Sus scrofa: one gene and its partners. The protein of the gene in region 4 interacts with the protein of the main gene of each other region in a biochemical or structural test. Links are inferred from orthologs where the notes say so. Each region holds a gene or a part of one and is shown on either strand. Other genes may lie near its edges.

The links.
Region 1: the proteins of BCL10 (region 4) and CARD11 form a complex in vitro, tested with the Homo sapiens proteins (2 studies listed by BioGRID, with this or other methods). The link is inferred for Sus scrofa from reciprocal best matches to the Homo sapiens genes BCL10 and CARD11.
Region 2: the proteins of BCL10 (region 4) and CARD9 form a complex in vitro, tested with the Homo sapiens proteins (2 studies listed by BioGRID). The link is inferred for Sus scrofa from reciprocal best matches to the Homo sapiens genes BCL10 and CARD9.
Region 3: the proteins of BCL10 (region 4) and IKBKB form a complex in vitro, tested with the Homo sapiens proteins (2 studies listed by BioGRID, with this or other methods). The link is inferred for Sus scrofa from reciprocal best matches to the Homo sapiens genes BCL10 and IKBKB.
Region 5: the proteins of BCL10 (region 4) and IKBKG form a complex in vitro, tested with the Homo sapiens proteins (3 studies listed by BioGRID). The link is inferred for Sus scrofa from reciprocal best matches to the Homo sapiens genes BCL10 and IKBKG.

The regions. Positions count from the first base shown.
Region 1 is NC_010445.4:2,147,374-2,151,550, forward strand, and holds part of CARD11 (caspase recruitment domain-containing protein 11), read right to left. Parts: intron 3,556-4,177; coding exon 3,440-3,555; intron 1-3,439. UniProt on the Homo sapiens protein: Adapter protein that plays a key role in adaptive immune response by transducing the activation of NF-kappa-B downstream of T-cell receptor (TCR) and B-cell receptor (BCR) engagement.
Region 2 is NW_018084833.1:1,345,838-1,349,374, reverse strand, and holds part of CARD9 (caspase recruitment domain-containing protein 9), read right to left. Parts: coding exon 3,258-3,537; intron 3,180-3,257; coding exon 3,000-3,179; intron 2,915-2,999; coding exon 2,771-2,914; intron 2,572-2,770; coding exon 2,446-2,571; intron 964-2,445; coding exon 772-963; intron 454-771; coding exon 412-453; intron 192-411; coding exon 143-191; exon of another isoform or gene 1-142. UniProt on the Homo sapiens protein: Adapter protein that plays a key role in innate immune response against fungi by forming signaling complexes downstream of C-type lectin receptors.
Region 3 is NC_010459.5:11,338,580-11,342,906, reverse strand, and holds part of IKBKB (inhibitor of nuclear factor kappa-B kinase subunit beta), read right to left. Parts: coding exon 4,276-4,327; intron 1,345-4,275; coding exon 1,217-1,344; intron 1-1,216.
Region 4 is NC_010446.5:130,644,052-130,648,835, reverse strand, and holds the start of BCL10 (B-cell lymphoma/leukemia 10), read right to left. Parts: upstream 3,410-4,784; 5' UTR 3,395-3,409; coding exon 3,338-3,394; intron 1-3,337. UniProt on the Homo sapiens protein: Plays a key role in both adaptive and innate immune signaling by bridging CARD domain-containing proteins to immune activation.
Region 5 is NC_010461.5:125,047,615-125,051,634, reverse strand, and holds part of IKBKG (NF-kappa-B essential modulator), read right to left. Parts: coding exon 3,907-4,020; intron 3,157-3,906; coding exon 3,038-3,156; intron 1,138-3,037; coding exon 985-1,137; intron 1-984. UniProt on the Homo sapiens protein: Regulatory subunit of the IKK core complex which phosphorylates inhibitors of NF-kappa-B thus leading to the dissociation of the inhibitor/NF-kappa-B complex and ultimately the degradation of the inhibitor.

The DNA of each region.
Region 1 (4,177 bases), on a different chromosome or scaffold from region 4:
GCATTGTGACTGAACACCACCTATTGTTGCTCTCACTCCCCTGGGAACTCACACACTCTGTCACTGCCACTGCCAAGTGCTCTGGGCACCACCTAAATCTGCCTGAGGCTCATTACCACTTCGCAGAGCCTTGCAACTGGGAGTTGGCTGTGCCACCTTCTGGCAGATCCTTGCTACTGGCAAGAGTGCAGCAACCAGGCACTGACCACTAGCCTTACCTATTGCCTCCTTCTCCCTGGAAACACATTCAGCACCCTATCAAGGGGATAACAGCCTGCTCACACTGAAGAAAGAGACAGCAAATATCCAAACCCCCATGCCAAAAATAAATAGTAACACCCCACAAAATACAAAGGGGTGCTCTTACATAGAAAGACCTTCAAGACTACAGTAGTTCGTTTCCCTAAACTCACAGGAAAAGAAAAATATAAGCAAAACGAAGAAGCTTGGGAACCATTCCCAGTTAAAAGAACAGGAGAATTTACCTGAAGCAGCAGACAATGAAAGAGACCTCTGCAGTCTAATAGGCACTGAGTTCAAAAGGGAGATAGTGGAAATACTGAAGGAATTAAGGGTGAGTATGAAGGAATTAAGAGCAGATATAAACAGTACTTTAGAAAGGAGCTAGAAAATATAAGGAGGGACCAAGAAAAATTAGAAAATTCATTTGCAGAGATGAAAACCAAGCTAAAGGCACTAAAGGGCAGAATGAATAATGCAGAGGAACGAATTGGTGACTTGGAAGATAGCATAATAGAAATCACTCAATCAGGACAGCAGACAGAAAACCAAATGAAAAAACATGAAAGCAATATAAGAGATCTATGGGTTAATACAAAGCAAGCCAATCTAGGCATAATAGGGATTCCAGGAGGAGAAGAAAAAGAAAAGGGGATTGAAAATATATTTGAAGAAATTATGGCTGAAAAGTTTCCAAATCTAAAAGAAACAGATATCAAGATACGGGAAGCACAGAGGGCCCCAAACAAGTTGAACCCAAAAAGGCCCACACCAAGACATATTATAATAAAAGTGACAAAAGTTAAAGAGAGGATTGATTCTAAAGGCAGCAAGAGAAAAACAAAGTGTTAATTGTAAGGGAACCCCCCCTAAGGCTGTCAGCTGATTTCTCTACAGAAACACTACAGGCCAGAAGAGAGTGGCAAGATATATTCAAAGTTCTGAAAGGGAAAAACCTGCAGCCTAGAATACTCTATCCAGCAAGACTATCATTGAAAATAGAAGGAGAAATAAAGAATTTTTCCAACAAACAAAAGCTAAAAGAGTACAGCAATACTAAACCCATTCTAAAAGAAATACTGAAAGGGCTTCTCTAAATAAAAAAGAAGTAACAAGAAACAGGATGGAGGAAATCACTCTTGGGAAGGAATTCCTTATATAAGCCAGTATACAGACCCAAAAGGAAAAACAAACCAAAAAAACCCTACTGTAAAAGTGACAGTAAACATAAGGAACAGCAAAAGGACAAAAGGGAGGATGTTAAAAAAGGACTTCGACATCCCCGAATGTGGGGAAGGAAAGTAAGGAAATCTAGACTTTTTTTTTAAGGGTGCACCTGCGGCATATGGAGGTTCCCAGGCTAGGGGTCGAATCAGAGTTGCAGCCACCAGCCTACACCACAGCCACAGCCATGTCAGATCCGAGCCGCGTCTGCGAACTACACCCCAGCTCACGGCAATGCGAGATCCTTAACCCACAGAACGAGGCCAGGGATCAAACCTGCCTCCTCATGGATGCTAGTCAGATTTGTTTCTGTTGAGCCACAATGGGAACTCCATAGACTCTTTTTTAATAATGTGTTTGAGCCCATATAGGACTATCAGGCTAAAAAGCAGATATAGAAAGGGGTTAACATACTTGAAAAACAGGGCAACCACAAATCAAAACCAACTATTACTTTCTGCCCCCCCAAAAAAAATTGAGACATGTCCCCGCCCCCCGGCCCCGTTTTGGCCACACCCATGCCATAGGATGTTCCCAGGCCAGGAATCAAACCCAAGCCACAGCAATGACAACACCAGATCCTTAACCTACTGTGCCACCAGCGAACTCCTAAAACTGTCTTTTTAATTTAATTTTCTTAAATCTCTCTCTCTCTCTCTTTTTTTTAAGGGCCACATGCACAGCATATGGAGGTTCCCAGGCTAGGGATTGAATTGGAGCTACAGCTGCTGGCCTGCACCACAGCCACAGCAATACCAGATCCGAGCCACATCCGCGACCTACACCATAGCTCACAGCAATGCTGGATATCCTTAACCCACTGAGGGAGGCCAGGAACTGAGCCCACACTTTCTGGGAGACCAGTCAGGTTCTTAACCTGCTGAGCCACAACGGGAGCTCCTCTATGTTTAATTTTTGAGGAGCCTCCATGCTGTTCTCCATACAGCTGCATCCTTTTATATCTCCCACCCCACTGCAGTGTGCAAGGGCTCCAACTTCTCCCCGTCTGGGCCCACCTGTGTCAGTTTCTGGTGTTTGTGCAGCAGCTATTCTGATGCATGTGAGGCGATGAGGTAGGGACTCTGGTCTCATTGACTTATGGTTCCCTAAGCCTGGCACCTAATGGGAAACCCTGGGGGAAGAATGGAGTGGCCTGGCCACCCTCAGTCTCAGCTGCAGCTGGTGTGAGGAGAGGTGGGGACCAGAGACGCCACCACGTGACAGGCAGGCCCCCAATCATGTGACAGGCAGGCCCCCCACCTCGGCATCATCCTGATTTCCTCCTTCTATTAAATCCCACAGCTGACCCCTCCCCCAATCGCACAGGCTTGACCTTGATGGATCCAGGATCGGACTTTCCTCATTGCTCACCAGATGGGACCCAGTCCCGCATCATGGTCCTTTGTCCAGGTTGTCGCCATGCCCGTCTTGGCACAGCAGCCAGTGGGCCTTGCCATCCCACGTTAGATTATGTCATTCCTCAAAACCACCAGTAGCTCTGTCTCACTCAGGAGATGTCACACTGTCCTATGGCCCACATGGGCTGGCGTGGTTGGACCCCACTTGGCTACAAAGTCCCTTCTCATGGCTCTGCCCACACTGGCCTCCTCCAGCTGTCCCACCTCTGGGTCTGGGCGCCTGCTGTGCCCTCTGCACCCGCCCGACCTGGCCTCACTGTAGTGGGTCTGTGCCAACATCAGCTTCCTGGACCACCTGGGTCCTGCGGCGCCCACCTGGCTCTCCTGGCACGCATCCTCCTGGACACCTTCCACCTACGTGTATGTTACTGTCTCTGCTGCTGGAGGTCAGGGCCATGTCCCTGGACTGGGGACAGACACTTGATAAGGATTCACTAAAGAGGTGAGCGGGGCTGGGGGGAACCCAAGCAGCCAGCTGTTCTTGGTGGGACCACAGAGGCTTGGTGGGGTGGGGGTGGAGGTGGTACTTTAAGGCCCTGGGGGTCCTGGAGACCTACCTGAACTTCTTAATGTTCTTCTCTGACACGCGGATGAAGAGCACGATGGGGTAGATGCGGGACTTGATCAGGTCTCGGGTGCAGCTGATCCCAGCCTCCAGCAGACAGTGCTTGTTCTGCAAGCCCAGGGGACAGAGGTCAGCAGGGCCCATGCCACCTCTGCCAGGCTGGGTGCCTGGGGAGGGGCCCGCGGTGCAGGATGCGAGAGCCCCGAGTGCCCCAGATGGACCCCAACCTCTGAGACACATGGCCCTGCTCATTTAGACCCCTCGCTCCCTCTGCCACGCGCAGGGATGGGCACTGCCAGAGCCCCAGTCCCCAGCCTGGGGTGAATCAGCTGGCATGAACGAGTCTTAATAAAAAGCAAAGACAGCGAGAGAACACCTGCTACTCTGTTCTGCCTACAGATGCGCTCTTGGTACTAGATGGGGTGGAAAATGCTTGGGAGGTGAGGTGGGCTGGCTGTCCCCGGGGGGGTGTAAGGGTTCTCAAGCATGACTCCCTGGTGCCCATGAGCTCATCATTTCTGAAAATGATCCCTGTTTTGCTGCAGGTGCCACTTCAAAAAAAAAAAAAAAAAACCCACAAAAACAAAAACACCTTTGCACTGAAACAGAACAAGAATACCGAAACGTACACATGCTCCTAAGCTTGTAGCTCAGAAGACTTGTCACAAACTGAATGTGCTGGTGGGATGAGCACCCAGGGCCAGAGGCAGAGGTGGCCCTGGTCCTCCGG
Region 2 (3,537 bases), on a different chromosome or scaffold from region 4:
TGAAGGCCAGCGGGACAGGGCTGGGGCGCGTGTCCTGGGGCAGCCGCGTCCTCGGTTGTGTGATGAAGGTCAGGGTGGGCGCCAACTTGAGCAGATCAAGAGGCTCTGGCCAGGTTCCTCGCCAGACGGCTCCCCGCCTCACCTCTGTCTGAGAGCTGGGCGTCCTCCTCCAGGTCCCGCGGGAGCGAGAGCTTCCCAGGAGAGATGGGCACCCGGTTACACCAGCACCCCCCACCGCACGGCCGAGCCCTCTGTGTGCCCCTCCCCGTCACTGCCCCACCCCCGGCCCCGGTGCAAGCTTCTCAGGGGCCCGCGCTGCTCTGCCCAGCACCGGGAGGGTGGCTGGCGGAGGTTGAGGCCCGGAGCCCCGCGCGAGGCCGGCCCTGGGCTGACCCCCGGGGCCATACTCACCTCCTGGGAGCTCCGGGGAGAGCTGTCCTCCAGGTCAGAGCTCTGGGGTCACAGAAGAGGCGTCAGTCAGCAGGCTTGCGGGGGTGGGCGTGGAGAAGGGTCCCAGACCAGCCCACCCTCCAGGGAGGCCCCTGGCCAGAGCCCCTCTCTGTCCCCATCACAGCACCCAGAGCAGCCTGCCAGGCCCTGAGCCCACCAGCAGGAGGGAGGTGGCTCAGGAAGGGCTGGGGACCGGCGGCTCCTCCTCGGGCCTCTGCGGTCTCTAGGGACACACCTGCCCCAGAGTGGACACAGCCCCGGGCCCCACGGAGGCACAGGCGTGGCTCTGACCGAGGGTCCCCCGACCCCAGGGAGGCCCACCAGGACAGGTGTATCCAGCTGCTGCCGCCTGAGCCTGTCCTCCAGAGCCAGCAGCTGGCCCTCGCGCTGGAACAGCTGGAGCTGCAGCTCGTCCACCTTCTCGCTCAGCTCGCGGACCTGCTTCCGCAGCACGTCCTTCTCCTGCAGGCTGCGGGCCTGCTGCGCGTGCAGCTCCTCCCGCGTCACGATGGCCTGTGGGGCGGCAGCGCAGGGCGGGGCAGGCGGTGGGGACCCCGCAAGCGCAGCACAGGCCGCCCCATCTCTAGCCGTGTTCCCGCGAGGAGGGCGGGCGGGGGGCCGGCACTGGCTTCTTCCTCTGTCCTCAAGCACGTCCTTCGTGTTTGGGGTCGTAAACGTGATACAGGCGCGTGACAGAACGCGTGTATGTTCAGAAAATCTACAGACAATGACCCTCAGGACTAGCCCCTGCCAACCGCTCCCTGGCACGCTCGGCACACGCTCGCCTCCCCACACGCGGGGGTCACACACCCTGGGTGGGGCTTGAGCTCAGGAGCACGACGGTTGACGGCTGTGGGATTTAACCACCTCTCTCATCGCACCCCCACGCCCCTGGTCACCCGAGGACAAGCCAGTCTCGTCTCCAGCCGCAATTCACGGAGCCCAACCACATCCCCTGTGTCAGGCGACCCCAAACGGCCAGGGCTTGATCTGTTTTGCGGCCGCACCTGCGGCATACGGAGGTTCCCAGGCCAGAGGATGAATCCGAGCTGCATCTGCCGGCCTTCGCCACAGCCACAGCTACGCTGCAGGGATCGAACCCGCGTCCTCATGGATCCTAGCTGGATTCACCACTGCTGCGCCACGACGGGCACTCCCAAGGCCTGATTAGTCAGAGCACTGCCTTCATTTCTGTGCATGCTGCCAGCTTAGGACCAAACAGACCCCCCACCCTGACTCACCTGGGCGGCCAGGCCCCAGCCTCCCCAGGCCGAGGGCCTCCCGGGCCCAGCCACAGCCCTGCACTCCCTGCGGTGGGTGGGGGCACCTCCTGTCTGCTGAGCTGCCCATTTCCAGGTGCCGCCCCCGATCTCACTGTGTCCATGGCCTTGAGATAAGAACCCACCTACCGGGCTTTCAGCACGGCTGTGGTTCCCATGAGAGAGGCTTCTAGAAGCGGATTGCTGGGCTAAAAGGAATCTGCGTTTTAAGGCTCCTGACACCAAGTGACAGTCACCCTCCAGAAAGCGACTGGAACATCGGCTGTGACCGATTAGAAAGGAGAGCGATGGGGCAGGGAGCAGACGCCACCCTGCGCCGGGCATGCTCCCGCACACAAGAGGGCAGCCCACACAGGCGCCACGGCTTCTTAAGCTAAAAAACCATTTGCAAAACAAGTCAGAAAACTCCCATTCTTGTAGAGCGAAGAAGAAACGGCAAGTACAGCGGAAGGTGGCGCGGGGATTAGCGTCCTCAGCATTCTCAGTTTATTTTTGGCCGCGGCTGCGGGCAGTGCCCGGGCCAGGGACCAAGCCCATGCCGCAGCATCCACCTGAGCCATGGCAGTGGCAACGCTGGGTCTTTAACCTGCTGCCGCGCCACCGGGGAACGTCTCTCCTTCTTCGGCGAGAACCGTGTGTAAAGCGTGACCTGCTTGCGTTGTGTAAAGCCTGTTTGACCGCCGCCTCCCCGGAGGGGCTCTGCCCTGACCGCTACCTGGTCCCGCTCGACGGCGACCTCCTCCATCTGCCGCAGGATGGCCTCGATGCGGTCCTTGTACATCTTGGAGTCCTTCCGAAGGGCCAGGCACTGCAGCTCGAACACCTCCTTCTCCTCCAGGCACTGCGGGGGCGAGACGGCAGCTAACCCCGCCGCCCGCAGCCCCGCCAACCCCGGCCCGGGGCCCGGACCCTGGACCCAGCCTGGGGAGCACGCGCTCGGGGCGGGGCCGGCCGGCCAGCCGGGCCTCGCCTGCAGGAAGGGGCCGGGAGGGACGCAGCGCTGAGAGGCCAGCCCACCTCCCCCACCGCGGGCCGCGTACCCGGGCGCGCTGGGCCTCGGCCTGGCGCAGGTCCTTGCGCAGGGAGAACACGGTGCGGGTCTGCTCCTGGAGGTCCCGCTGCGCCTGCCGCCAGTCCTCCTCCAGCACCTGGATGTAGGGGCTGCTCTGGTCCGGCCGCCCCTCCTGTGGCGCCAAGGGAGAGGGTGGCGGGGCGGCGGGGCTGGAGGCCCCCCGCCCGGCTGCGCTGTGCTCGCCCCGCTGGCCCCACCTGCACGGAGGCCTCCAGGCCCTGCACCCGGGCCTGCAGCAGCGCCTTCTCCTGCTGCAGCTCCCACAGCAGCTCCTGGCTGGGCCGCTGCTCCATGGCGTGCCGGAGCTTCAGCGTGTGCTTGCGCTCCACCGAGCAGTCGTCCTCGGCCTTCATGAGGCTGTGCTTGAGCCGATCGATCTGCGGGGCCGCCCGTCAGCCCAGCCCGGGGGCCCGCCGCCCGCCCGCCGCCCGCCCGGCCGCCCCGCCGCCAGGCACCTCCAGCTGCAGGTCTCGGTTGCGCATGAGCGCGGTGCCCCTCTCCTCGCTCTGACGGGCCAGGCGCAGGGCCAGGTCGTAGTTCTCGTCCTTGCAGCGCTGGAGCTCGCGGCCGCCGGCCTCGCAGGCCTCCTTGAGCCTCTGCGCGCGCTCCTGGTGCTTGCGCAGCAGGCCGTCCTTCACGCGCAGCTCCTTGATGAGGTCGTCCTTGGAGCCCAGCAGCGCCGTCAGGTCCTGCGCCTTCTTCTGCAGCTTCATCACCTCGCTCATCAGCAGCTGC
Region 3 (4,327 bases), on a different chromosome or scaffold from region 4:
CAGGACTGCTCTGCCCTACCCTGATCCCCTGATCCAGAGCCTGCATTTCCACTGATTCCCCAGTACTCGCTGATGCTGTTGGTCTGGACCACACTTTAAGACCCCCTGGGCCAGAGCAAGGCGTCCGTCCGGGACAGGGGATCAGCCTGGAGAGGGTCTGGGAAGGTCTGAAAAGGCTCAGGCTTGATCCCTGAGGCAGTGGGACACCCTGACCGGTTACCAAATAGGAATAACTTGGTCAAAACAGTCTTCTGTGAAGACTGATTTGATGAAAGAGGGCCTGGAGGCAGCACAAGAGATAGGAAGCAGGGAGGAAAACCTCACCGTATGGGCTTTGGTGCTGCTCCCACTTCTGGCAGGAGTGCATGCAATGGGCAGGGCAGGGAGGGATCTGTGACTTGTGACTCAAAGTGGAGATGGGGTGGGAGGGGGAGGTGCGATGCCTTGGGGCACAGGGCACGGCCAGAGAGCCGACCATGATGGATGGAACAGAGGACACCATGGGACTGACCAGCACTTTCCATACGCCCATTCAGCAATGAGCAACCCAACCTTCAGACAGGGAGAATTTTTTAAATGGCCACACCCGTGGCATATGGAAGTTCCTGGGCCAGGAACTGAATCTGAGCCACCGCTGCATCTTACACCACAGCTGTAGGAACACTGGATCCCTAACCCACTGTGCCAGGCCAGGGACTGAACACCAGCAACCCCAGCCACTGCAGTCAGATCCTGAGTCCACTGCATCACAGTGGGAACTCCAAAGACAGGAAAACTTTAGCCAGCAAGTCAAGAGGGGATCTGAGAGCAAAACACATCTGCCCCCACAGCACCCAACACATGGAACAAAACACCAAGGAGCAGAGTCGCTGATGGGTGACATGGCCTGTCTGAGAAACATGCACTTCCATTCTCACGACCTCTGGACACACCCATACCTGCTGCTCATCCCACGGCTAAGGGGGACCTACCTTTTCTTTTTTCTTTTTCCCACCCACGCCATTTGTAAATTCCCAAGCTAAGGGTTGAAGCGGAGCTACAGCTGCCAGCCTATACCACAGTCACAGCGAAACCAGATCCAAGCCACATCTGTGACCCACACGGCAATGCCGGATCCTTAACCCACTGAGTGAGGCCAGGGATCGAACCCTCATCCTCATGGATACTAGTCAAGTTAGTTACCACTAAGCCAACCACAGGAACTCTGGGGACCTACCTTTTCTTGATGGCCTCAGGTAAACTGTCGGGGGCAGGGCAGGGCTGCGACATCAGCTGGCTGGGGTGACTCAGGCGAGAGGCATTCATGCTGTCCGGGCTTCCGCTGACAGGACCACGGACCTTGCTCTAGAGGACAAAACCAGAAAGGAAGCTGCACGGTTTCGGAACAAGGGGATGACTCAAATCTTGCATCCATGCCAGGGTATTTTCTCACGATGACTGGCCTCAAGACACAGGCCCTTCCTGGAGGAGACGGGTCACCATCACTATCTGAGGGCTTGCGTTTCAGTCCAGCAAATGTTTCTGGACCCACATGTGCACTTCTGGATAAAAGGGTCTCCCTGTTGAGGGCTTGTATTTGCAGGCCCTGTTTTTCATCAGTTTGATTGCTTGATAAACTCTTACAAGGAAGCTAGAAAGAAGGTGTGTTTACTCTTTCCACGTAGAAGACAGACACATAAAGATCCCAAGCGACTTTCTGTAACTCGCCTCATCCATGGGATAGGAGGAAAGCCAGGCGCCCAGGCTGTGGCAGCTCCATCTCAGAGCCAAGGCCTTCCACCAACAGCTCCTACACCTCTCACACCTGCAGTCCCGACATGACCTGTGACCTCTGCAACCTTCTCAGCACCTTCTGCCGCCTCACCCCGGTCCCTCTCCAAGCTCCAGCAAACTTCCTCTGTTGGCCCCAGGAGCTTCCCACTGGCCCATCGTTCCTCCCTCCCCCTCAGGCTCTTATTCTGGGGACCTATCCAGCTCCACATGCTCTGAGCCAACCGAACATCCAGGGCCAAGTTCACCCAGCCATTCAAACACCCAGTTTCACCTCGCTCTTTGCCCTTCTGCCATGTCTTCCTCACTGATCATCTCCCGTGGAGACCCAGCTGTCTGTCCATCCCCCCAACTCCTGCTCTGGGTCTGAGACTGTGATGGAGGTCACCCCCCTCCTCCCAGGACCATCATGTTCCATGAGGACGGCAGGAGAGGCCCCTTCTCTCAGGGAGAGCCTCCAGCTGCCACCAGAGTAATTTTTCTATTATTGTGATTATTATCATTGCCCCTCCTGGAAGTTCTTGGCCCCCAGGGATTGAACCCAAGCCAGATGAGTGACCCAAGCTGCTGCAGTGACAACGCTGGATCTTCAACCCATTGCACCACAAGGGAACTCTCAGAGTAATTTCTCTAAAAACCAAAGGGGATCACATATTCCCACTCTTAACTTCCCTCCAAACAAAAAGAGAAATTAAGTCCTGCTATGTTTCCCCTGTGCCTTCAAAATAAAGTGTGGCCGCAAAGCCAGCTCTCCTGACCTCTCTAATTTCATCCCCAGTGAGACCCCCCCACCCCCACCCGACATGCCACTCTCACCTCCAGGCCTCTAACGTTGCATCCCCACCTGGCCGTTCACCTGCCTCCCTTGGCTTCCTCTCCAGGCGACCTGTCCTGGCGCTCCCTTGACCCCCTGGCCTTCACGCCATGGTTCCTGCTTACCATGCCTGCTCCAGACTGTTCTCGTTCATTCCCGGCATGCCCCTCACCAGACTGTGAGCTCCCTGGGCTGAACACCACGCCTTTTCCCTCCTGCATCTCCAGCTCTCAGCACCCTGCCGGGCATGGCGTCAGTGCTCAATAAGTGTCTAGTGGACGCAGCTGGCGGATCAGGTCAGCACCTCAGCACCTCGACCTGGCCTCTTCACCTCTGCCTCCTCACCTCTCTTCTTGGCTGTCTCTCCTCGTTACAGGAGATGTCACCCACCCCCCTTCTGCTCCTGCTCCTGACGCTGACCTCCCACTGTCCTCAGACTGGGGACTTGCTCCCATCTCTGTGACGCTGGGAACACCCCCCCGCCACACACACACCCCCAGGACGCCGTCTCCTTTTGCCTGGCCTGCAGATATGCTCCGTCACCATGATCCTCAAAAGCCCTGTCCTTGTGTCCTGCTTCCGCCTTCAGCAGCCACACTCCCCGACTGATGACTAAGTCACTCCACTGTCAACTTCCTCAGCACCCCCACAGCTGGTGCCTGCACCGTGGGTTCGTCCCTCCAGCTCTGGTCCAGAAACATGGGTCTTCCCGGCTCTTCCCCCTTCCCTGTCCTGGGCTCTCAGAGCAACATTCAGTGGGATCACAGCTATGTTAAGGCCATGGGCCCAGGAAGTACGGGCTGCAGTGCTGTATGGCATGGACAGGAAGGGGACCCTTGACATGCACTGTGGGGGCTGCATGCGGATCTCCAGGAACCTGAGCATGTGACCTCATTTGGAAAAGGGATGTTTGCAGATGAGGTTAAAGATCCTAGGATGAGATCACCCTGGACTATCTAGTGGCCTAAATCCAGTGACAAGTGGTTCTTTTTTTTTTTTTTTTTAATGGCTACACCCAAGGCACATGGATGTTCCTAGACCAGGGTTTGAATCTGAGCTGCAGCAACGTTGGATCCTTTAACCCACTGCGCCAGGCCAGGGCTAGAACCCCTGCCTCCCCAGCAACCTGAGCTGCTGCAGTTGGATGCTTAACTCAGCCACAGTGGGAACTTTGGTGATATGTTCTTATAATAGACACACAGGTGCAGTTCCTAGTAGCTTAGCAGTTAAGGATTTGGAATTGTCACTGCTGTGGCTCAGGTTCGATCCCCGGCCTGGGAACTTCCACATGCCATGGACTGGGCCAAAAGGATAAGAGAGAAAGAGACACAGAGAGAGAGACAAGTGGAGAACAGAGGCAAAGACTGGAGAGGTGCAGCCACAAGCCAAGGATGCCGGGAGCCACTGGAATCTAAGAAGAGACAAGGTTCTTCCCTGTAGCCTCCTGAGGGAGCCCAGCCCTGCCCACACCTTAACCTTGGACTTCCAACCTCCAAGTCTTAAGAATGGCTATGGTGAGTGTCACAGCAGCCACACTATGAACAATAACCCTCACCCTACCCTGCCCTGTTCCCGCCAAGTCCTGGGGCAGAAAAGTGGAAACTGAGCTGCAGTGGCTGAGTCTGGGGGGTACCCACGGTCCCCCTCACAGGCTGGGGACGGGGGCACCAGCCTGGCCACCAGGGACTCACACAAGCGATCTTCAGGAGGTTCCAGAGCTCCTTCTGCCGCTTCTCCTGAAGC
Region 4 (4,784 bases):
CCCTGGTTCTCAGTTCACTCAACTCCCGTATTCATTTATTTATTCACACAACAAACACTTCACATATCTAAATGCCTAATATGCCACATGCTGAGCCGAAGACATGCAAAGACGCACAAGACTTGAATCCTGCATTCAAAGGACACATGGTCTAGCTGAAGAATACATGATCAACTCAAGCTAATGATCAGGAGACAATGAGATACAACTTGGAAAAAAGTTACAGGTCAAGTACTGGGGATGCAGAGAGCAGGCAACTGACTCTGCCTCCAGGACCTGGGAAATTGATCGAGGCTAAGCCTGAGCTAGAAGCATAAAAGGAATGCAGTGGCGGGGGGACCTCATCAAAGGTTTATAAATAAGAGGCGAAAAGAAGACTTTTACAGACGATTGGGAGAAACAAAAACGGGTCAAAGGAGACATGAGAAGACTGCTGAACTCTCTTACCCAGGATGTGCTGAGTGCGAGAATTTAAGCTGTGGGGATAACAAATGAGAAACACAGACTTAAAAAGACCGTCTCCTTGGAAAAGCTCAACTGCTGCAATTTCCAACCCCTGTGCGTGGATGACTCCTGAAAATGCCTATGATCAAGACTCTCTCCACCTAGAGATGCCGGCAGTACTTCAAACTCAACACGCCCCAAGCCGCATCTGCGTCCCCATCCTTTTCCTCGGACGCTCTCGGCTCCCCTGGGAGGGCCGCCATCCGTCCAGACGCGCGATACACCCCGACAACTCGTCCTGGGCTTTTCCCCTTTCACTCGCTTGCCACACTGGATCACCCTTCCTCCAAGTCCCACCAGTCCGCCCTCGACACTTCTCTCATCTGCCCCCTCTCCCTCCCGAGCCCTAGCACCGTCCTAGTTCTGGTCCCCTGTACTCTGCCTGGACTGCTAACAAGACACCTCGCTGTACCTCTTCCTTCTCTCCCCACAGCCCTCAAATTCCTCCCCACACATCATCAGACGTCTCATTGCTCAAGAAAAAAAAATGGAAATCTGGAGTGTGAGATGAATTCTACTAAGATTGAAATGCTGTTAATTTTTAAAAAATGTGAAACACTGTGTTCCACCGCAACTTAAAGGATAAAGTTTCTCACATGGCAGAATAGTGGAGAAGTTAAGAGCACGGCTCTGGACCCAGGCCCACCTCAGTGCAAATCCTGCATCTGCCACGATCTCCTGTGGGAGCTGGGCAAGCTCCTCAGCCTCTCTAGCTTCAGATTCCCCACTGGTCATCACCAATAAATACACGGCACGATCCCTGGGAGGACTAACTGGACAGCGCTTACCAGGGACTTGCCCATCCACGGGATTTTTTTTTTGCCTTTTTAGGGTATCACCTGAGGCGTATGGAAGTTCCCAGGCTAGGGTCAAATCTGCACTGTAGCTCCTGGCCTACACCACGGCAACACCAAATCCGAGTCTCATCTGCAACCTGCACCACACCTCACGGCAACGCCGGATCCTTAATCCACTGAGTGAGGAAAGGGATGGAACCTGCGTCCTCATGGATACTAGTCAGGTGTGTTACCGCTGAGCCATGACGGGAACTCCATCCATGGATTTTAGTATCAGCGGCCAGTCCTCCATAGTTACAGAGGGATGATTGTATATTCTTCAAGAGAGAAAACAGCAGAAACAACAAGCAGCTTTGAGGGAGGGATGATAAAATGATCAACCTTAGACAAGGTGAGGAATCTGAAGGATATCAAACTGGATTTCCCGCAACTATTTGGAAATAAGCACTTAGATTTGGGAAAGAAGGCAGGCCAAATATATGTATGATAATTTTAAACCTTCTAAGGTCATAAACCATTTCCATCACGTGAAAAAATGTTCTAAGAAAAAAATGAGCAGCTCTATTTTTTTCACAGCTGTCCTGAAACCGGTGCATGATTCCCCAAGGTTATGAATTTCAGAGCTGGCTGTGCACTGAAATCTTGGAGATGGAGAATGTCAATGAGCTGACGGCAAAAAATACAGGCCTGGCAGTCACCCTTCACATCTGTGTTTGTGTGCGGGTTTTGGAACCTCCCACTTGCAACCTCTCACTACCTGTTTTGTCAACTGTAAAATGGAAAAGACAGCGATCCCCCTCAGAGGCTGGTGTACAGATGACGCTAGAACACTGTAAACCGTGCGATGCAGCACCTGCCTCCTGAAGTTCATGCTTTTACTGGCACAAATCCTGAACAGCACAACACTCATTCTTTAGTAGTTACCAACATCCGAGTTCTGACGGGAATGGGAAGCAGGGACCTGTCATTTTTGGGTATCTTTCCAGGCCGAGGAACAGTGCTTTCCATCTAGTGAGCGCCCCAGAATTATCTGCTGAAGGAGGAAATTAAGGCACAAGCCCTACTCTTAACCAGAGTCCTTCTGCTAATGAGTCACACCGACTCTGCATTATGGGTACAGTGTGATAAACCTCACAGGTGAGGGAAAAGGAAGCACAGGAACATTTAAAAAGCTGCTTCCTGTCCACTTCACAAAGGTGGTTTTGTACAGCACTGCGGCGCTAAGCGAGAACACAGTTCATGTTGATTTTTAAAATGTGAATTAATACAAAGTATTTTAATGGTACTCATACAAGTCTCACAAAGCAAAACAAACAACTAAGAGCAAAGGGTAAGAGAAACAAGTCACTCTTGGTGAATAAATATTAAGATTTGTACATTTCTGCAGCATCCAAGCAGCGGAGCATAACGCAGCTACCGAATGTTTCCAGCGTTCACCTGTAAATAAATTCTCGGCCTTCGGGCCCCGGCCCCCGTCCCCTCCCCCTCGCCCCTCCGATTTAAATACGTGGGCGTTTGCTTTCTAGGGGAATTCCGACTCGTGCTTTCAGCTGCTGAGCTTCCCTCAACCCCCGCTGCCAAAGTTTCACATATTTGCTCCACTGCTTGGGATGCTTTACCTGGTCCAGCTTTTGCTCCAGGCTGAGAGAGCCAGCAGCCAAGGCTCAGACTCAAGGACGAGCTTGAGTCGCCGACTTCCGACAACGTAGCTCCACCCCTGGAAGCGCCAGAGGATGGGTGGGGAGTGGGCCGGAGGCTGTGAAGGAGCGCTCCACCCAACAAGGTTCCAGAAACCCAAGCCCCGCTTTGATTGATTTAACACGCGAGTTCACAGGTCACCAGGGGTCGGACCGCTTCCACCAGGTCCCCGCGATGCCGGCTCGGCTCCCGCGGCGCCCGGACCTGCCGCTTCTCCCACCGCGCGCTGCTCCCCAGCTGCGGGCCGGGCCGGGCCGGGCCGCCGGGTTTCCGCTCCCGTCGCCCGCAGGCACGCAGCCCGCCCCGCCCGCCCGCCCGGGCCCGGCCGTGCTACTCACGTCCTTCTTCACTTCGGTCAGGTCCTCCTCGGTCAGGGACGGCGCGGCGGGCTCCATGGCGGAGGCGGGGGACGGCGCTCCTTCCGGGTCCGCGCTCGGGCTGCGCCGCCCCGCCCAGGCTGGGGGCTTCGGCCTCCCGAGGAGGGGTGGGGAGGGGAGGCGGAGAGGGTGGGGGGACGGCTACCTCCTCGAAAACAGGGGGACCGAGGGTCAAACAAGCGCTTCCGGCTCTGCCTCCGGGCCGACGGCGGCGCAGACCTACGCGTCTAGACGCCGAGCTCCGGGCTCGGCTCCTGCGCGCTCGCGGAGGCCGGGGCGCAGGACCGCCCCTCTGGGAGGCCGGCCCTCGGAGAGCCCGTCCCGTCTCTCCGAGAGCCAATCGGAGCCAGCCCGCGGCCGGCCTGGTCCCGCCCCCGGCCGGAGCCCTTCCAGGGTGGCCCCGCCCACGGCCTCCAGGTCGTTTGCATGGGGCGGGGGGAGGCCTCCCGAGAGGATCGTTTCCGTGGGCGGGGCCGGCGCGGCTCGGTCTGTGGGCGGTCGCCGCCCGCGCGGGCGGCTCTGATGCAGCTGGAGCTCTGCTGGTCGGTGCTGCTGTGTTCCTCCCCTTCTCCCAGCCCCTGCCCACCGATTTCCTGTTGCTGTTTGCCCACGCAAGTTTTACAATGGTTTGGTCACACACAGACGCTCGCGCGCGCGCACACGAGACTCATATACAGCCTAACTGCAGTTCATATTGAAGGAATTTCTGAAAGAGAAAAACCGCCTACAATGCCATCACTTTAACACCTCATTTAACCTCTGCATACTTTCTGGTCACTGTTTATGATAAACGTATTTCCTTATTTCTTCATCTGAGGGATGAAGATGTGTCTCTTCTACCTCTCACAGGTGACAATTCAATGACGTGACAGATGTGAGGTTCTTAGAGGTCTGGGCCCACAGTCCGTGCTCAGCTCTTGCTCAAACATTTATTGAGTCCTTCCTACTATATTCTAGACACCCAGTCCCGTAAGAGTTCTCCCATCTTTCTGGGGGAGACTGATGAACAGATACGATTCTCAGAACGGTGCATCCAAAGTAACGAGGGTGATAAGTCCGGAAAGGGCTCAGGGCCCAAGACGATTGTTTGGACAACATGGTAAATAAACTAGAAAGAAAGTATATGGTATTTGGAAGCTAGAGGGTAGATAAAAATGCGGACCAGGGGGCGGAAGACAAATTTGAGGATCCAGAATCCTTTAAAGGAAGGGAAAACAAGAACCAGAAAACAACAATGTTGTCAAGGCCGCATCAATGTATTTTTCCATCACAGGGCAGGGATCTTACTTTTAACATTACATCATGTGTGTTTGTCCATATTCATACACAGTATTTTTTCTGATTGCTTAATCTTCCGTCATCTTTTTCTAACCCAATTCACTTAACTAGTTGTTCTTTCATTCACAAA
Region 5 (4,020 bases), on a different chromosome or scaffold from region 4:
CTCAGAGGCCGTCAGTCAGCCGCGAGGCAAGCTTTGCCAACTCGTTGACATCACTTTTCTTCAATGTAGCATTTTTTAAAGCATCAGAAGAAACACTTATAATAAGATACAGCTGTCCTCGGAGTTCCCTGGTGGCCCTACTGCGTTAAGGATGCGGCACTGGCATCAATCCCTGGCCTGGGAACTGCCCCTTGCCACGACACGGCCAAAAGAAACTTTTTTTTTTTTTTTTTTTTGGCCATACCTGTGGCATGTGGAAGTTCCTGGGCCAGGGATCAAACCTGCACCACAGCAGCAACCTGAGCCACAGCAGTGATAACACTGGATCCTTAACCCACTGAGCCACCAGAAACATTTTTTAATAAAAATTAAAAATAGGAGTTCCTGGAGTTCCTGTCGTGGCTCAGTGGTTAACGAATCCAACTAGGAACCACGAGGCTGCGGGTTCGATCCCTGGCCTTGTTCAATGGGTTAAAGGATCCGGCACTGCCGTGAGCTGTGGTGTGGGTCGAGATGCAGCTCGGATCCCGCGTTGCTGTGGCTGTGGTGCAGGCCGGCAGCTACAGCTCCGATTCGACCCCTAGCCTGGGAACCTCCATATGCTGCGGAAGCGGTCCAAGAAATGGCAAAAAGACAAAAAAAAAAAAAAAAAAAAGTCAGCTTTAGACGTCCATGATGGCCTAGTGGGTTAAGACAATCTGGCACTGGCACTGTCACAGCTCAGGTCACTGCTGTGGCTTGGGTTCGATCCCTAGCCCGGGAACTTCCGCATGCCATAGACATGACCAAAAAAAAAACATAAAAAATATATTTTAAAAGTCAACTCCATTAAAAATCGGGAAAAGCATAAGGACGGTCTAGACTAAAGAAGACTCAAAGGGCATGCAAGTGGCACACAGGACCCCGGCCCCGAGGCTTTGAACACGTGGGCCAGAGGGTAGATCTGAACGCGGGCAGGCAAAGGCCGCCGCAGCCGGCACTCACTTCTCCTCCGAGGCGGCCTGGCGCTCCATGCGCAGGGCGGCCTCCATGCTCTGGCTCTGCAGGCGCAGCTGGTCCACCTGCACGCTGTGCTGCTGCTGCAGGGCCTCCCGCTCGTTCTCCAGCTGCCGGACCTGCTCGCTAGTGGCGCGAACCCTGGTGGCAGGAAGGGGAGGTCACCGGAGGGCCCCAGCAGGAGCAAAAGTGCTCGAGGAACCCTGCAGCACCAAGAAAGACTGCAGCAGAAGGCACTGGGGCCAGGGGTGAAGGAGGGGGTCCCAGGGGAAAGAAGCCCCAGGGACCTGCCCGTGGGGTTCCGAGAGGTGGGTGCTGGGGGCCATGGCCAGAGCAATCTCAGTGGAGGAAAGGAAGTAGAGCCAGTCAGCAAAGACAGCCTTTCTAGAAGGTGGGGCGGGCGCAGGTGAGAAGTGAGGTGAGGCGGGGGTGGGGGGTGGAAAGTGGGGTCAGTGGCTCCACGGCTCCCCCACCCCGCCCGCCACCACCGCTCTAACAGTGGCAAGGAGGTGGCTGGCTGGCCCATCTGGAGTCCCAAACGTCTACATCTGCGAGATCCTCCCACCTGCCTGCCCGGGAGAAGATCCTGGATCCATCCACACTCAAGCTGTGACAGCTCGGCTCTCCTCACCCGGGTCCCCCAAGGGGCCTGACCCTCTGATGGGGGCCCGTCACCCCACGGCCCCGCCTCGCATCTCCACACTCATGTCTGCTCACAGCTCCCTCCATCCCCAGCTCCAGGCTGCAGCCACGTCATCCTGTGTCCCGGGGGCGACAGTGGCTGTTCTGAGTGGGGGGCGGCTCCTGGCCCTCTCCTCTGGTCTCATCTCCACACCTGGCCAGCTATATCCAACTCAGATGTCCATCTGTGACCCGACAAAACTTAGCTGCCGGCATTGTCATCGCCAGACGGAAGTGCTGTCTGCCAGGGGCCCGAGAACAAGGAGGACAGCCGTTCTGATGTGACAGGCCTGGCGCTCAAAGGGCCGCCACATGTACGAAGTCTGGATCTGTTTAAATGGCCACACCGAGCGATGGGAGACGCAAGCAGGCTCCCTGCCCTGAGCTGCCAGCCAGCATTTCCATCTCAGCCACGTGGGGGGACAAGAGAGGAAGATGCCCAGAGCCTGCAACTGCGGGGTCATTAACTGAGCAGAGTCAGCCACAAAACTGCAGACAGCGTCACGCCTCCAGCAGTCTCTTTTATGTGCACAGAAAAAAGGCAAGAAACACGTGGCAGTGTCCTAGAAATGACACACGTGCCTCTTAGAGAAGTGGGGGTAGAGACGAGCCCGGCGGGGAACCGGGAAGGCGACCAGGCCAGCGGGCTCGGCCCTGCCACACACACGCCCTCGCCGCCTGCTTTCTAGAGGGAGGCTCCCCGCTCGCTCTGAGGATGGCGGGGCGTCTAAACGCCGCGCTGGGAAACGCCTCGGGCCTCCGGGCGCAGCGCCCAGCGCACCGGGAGAGCTGCGGCCAGCCCTGCCGCCTGGACCCGTCTCCCTGGACGGCAGCCACCGGGCAGCGTGAGAACCACAGAGACGCCCGTGCCCTTTGACCCGGTGAGCACAGCTACAGGAAGCAGCCTCTGCAGAAGAGAGGGGCCAGCAGGGCTGGTGTGAGTCCCCTACGCTGCCAGGACACTCGCCCTCCAGATGAGGGAGGTCCCCATGCCTAGACCGTGGGCACAACACGGTGGCCTATGGGGAGCACCTGCTTTCCTCCAGGAGTCAGGAGGCTTGGCGTGTGCTGGGCCATGACCAGCCCTCCATCAAACTCAGGGCGCTGAGTCTCCAGTGGCGCCCCAGGCCTCCAGGGAGGCCCAAGTCGCCGCCAGAGAAGGGAGGAAAGGAGGAGGGGGCCAGAGGCAGGGGGTGCTCCGCCCCCGCCCTGGGCCTTCCGTCCTCGGGGGTCCTGGGCCGGGAGGGCACTGTGATCACGTGGACTCGTCCCCCCCACCCCGCAAACGGCCCCTCGGGAATCATCCAAAACTCTGGCAAAAAGTCAGCGGCCTCGGGCAGGGCTCTCCCTCCACGCTCACCTGCTCTCCAGAGCCTGCCGCTCCTTGGTGGCGGCCTCCAAGCGACTCTGGCTCTCCTGCAGCTCCCCCAGCAAGGACGTCACCTGGGCTTTCACTGAGGCCTTGTCCTCTGCCATCTGCTGCACGAGAAGAAGCCACGCCACGTCAGCACTGAGACCGGCCACCCCCGGGGCTCCTCTCCTGCCCCCGGCACCCCGACTCATCTCCCTCTCATCTCTCGAAGCTTCTCCCCCAGCAAGGCCACTGAGGATGGGGCCAGAGGAGCACAGAGCTGCCCATGCGGGCTGAGCCCAGCAGGAGTCTCCCCACCTTGCTGAGACTCAAACATGTGACAGAAACCTGCGCGCTCCCCGGGCCCCAGGCCACTAGCAGGTAAGAGGGAGTGACGCTGTTCCCACAAGTCCTGCACCTGCCCCAAAACTCAAGAGTTCTCCAACTCCCCACCGCCCAGACGCCCTCCCAAGGCTGTGCAAACCCTGGGCCCGAGACCTCAGGCTGCTCAGGCCCAGGGTCAAGCCTCAGGCCCCCACCCCTACACGCAGCGCCACCCACCCCGCCCGCCACTCATCCCCCTCCTTTTCACGCCCATCTGCGTGCACCTGAGGATGATCGGGTCGGTCTCAAGGTTTCCACTGCCCTGGACAGGCCAACGGCTTCCAAACCCTGAACCCCCACTGAGCCAGCCAACGGCCTGCCGATCGCCCTGACGCCCGTCCGCAGGCCCTGCTGGCTAAGGCGCCCACTGCCACCACCCCCGCCCGCCCTGGTCAGAGCCCCGAGGATAACGGCTTCTCTCGACTCTGTGCGGCCGCCCGAGGGTGCTCCTGGGGACCCCCGGGGGAGAGGGCAGGCGGCCGGCGCCCCGCTACCTGCTGGCAGGTCTTCAGGAGCTCCACCTCCTGCAGGGCCTGCTCCCTCTGCCTGCGCAGCTCCAGCTTCTCGAGGCTCAGCCTCTCGACCAGGCGCCTGGCCTCGCAGAACTT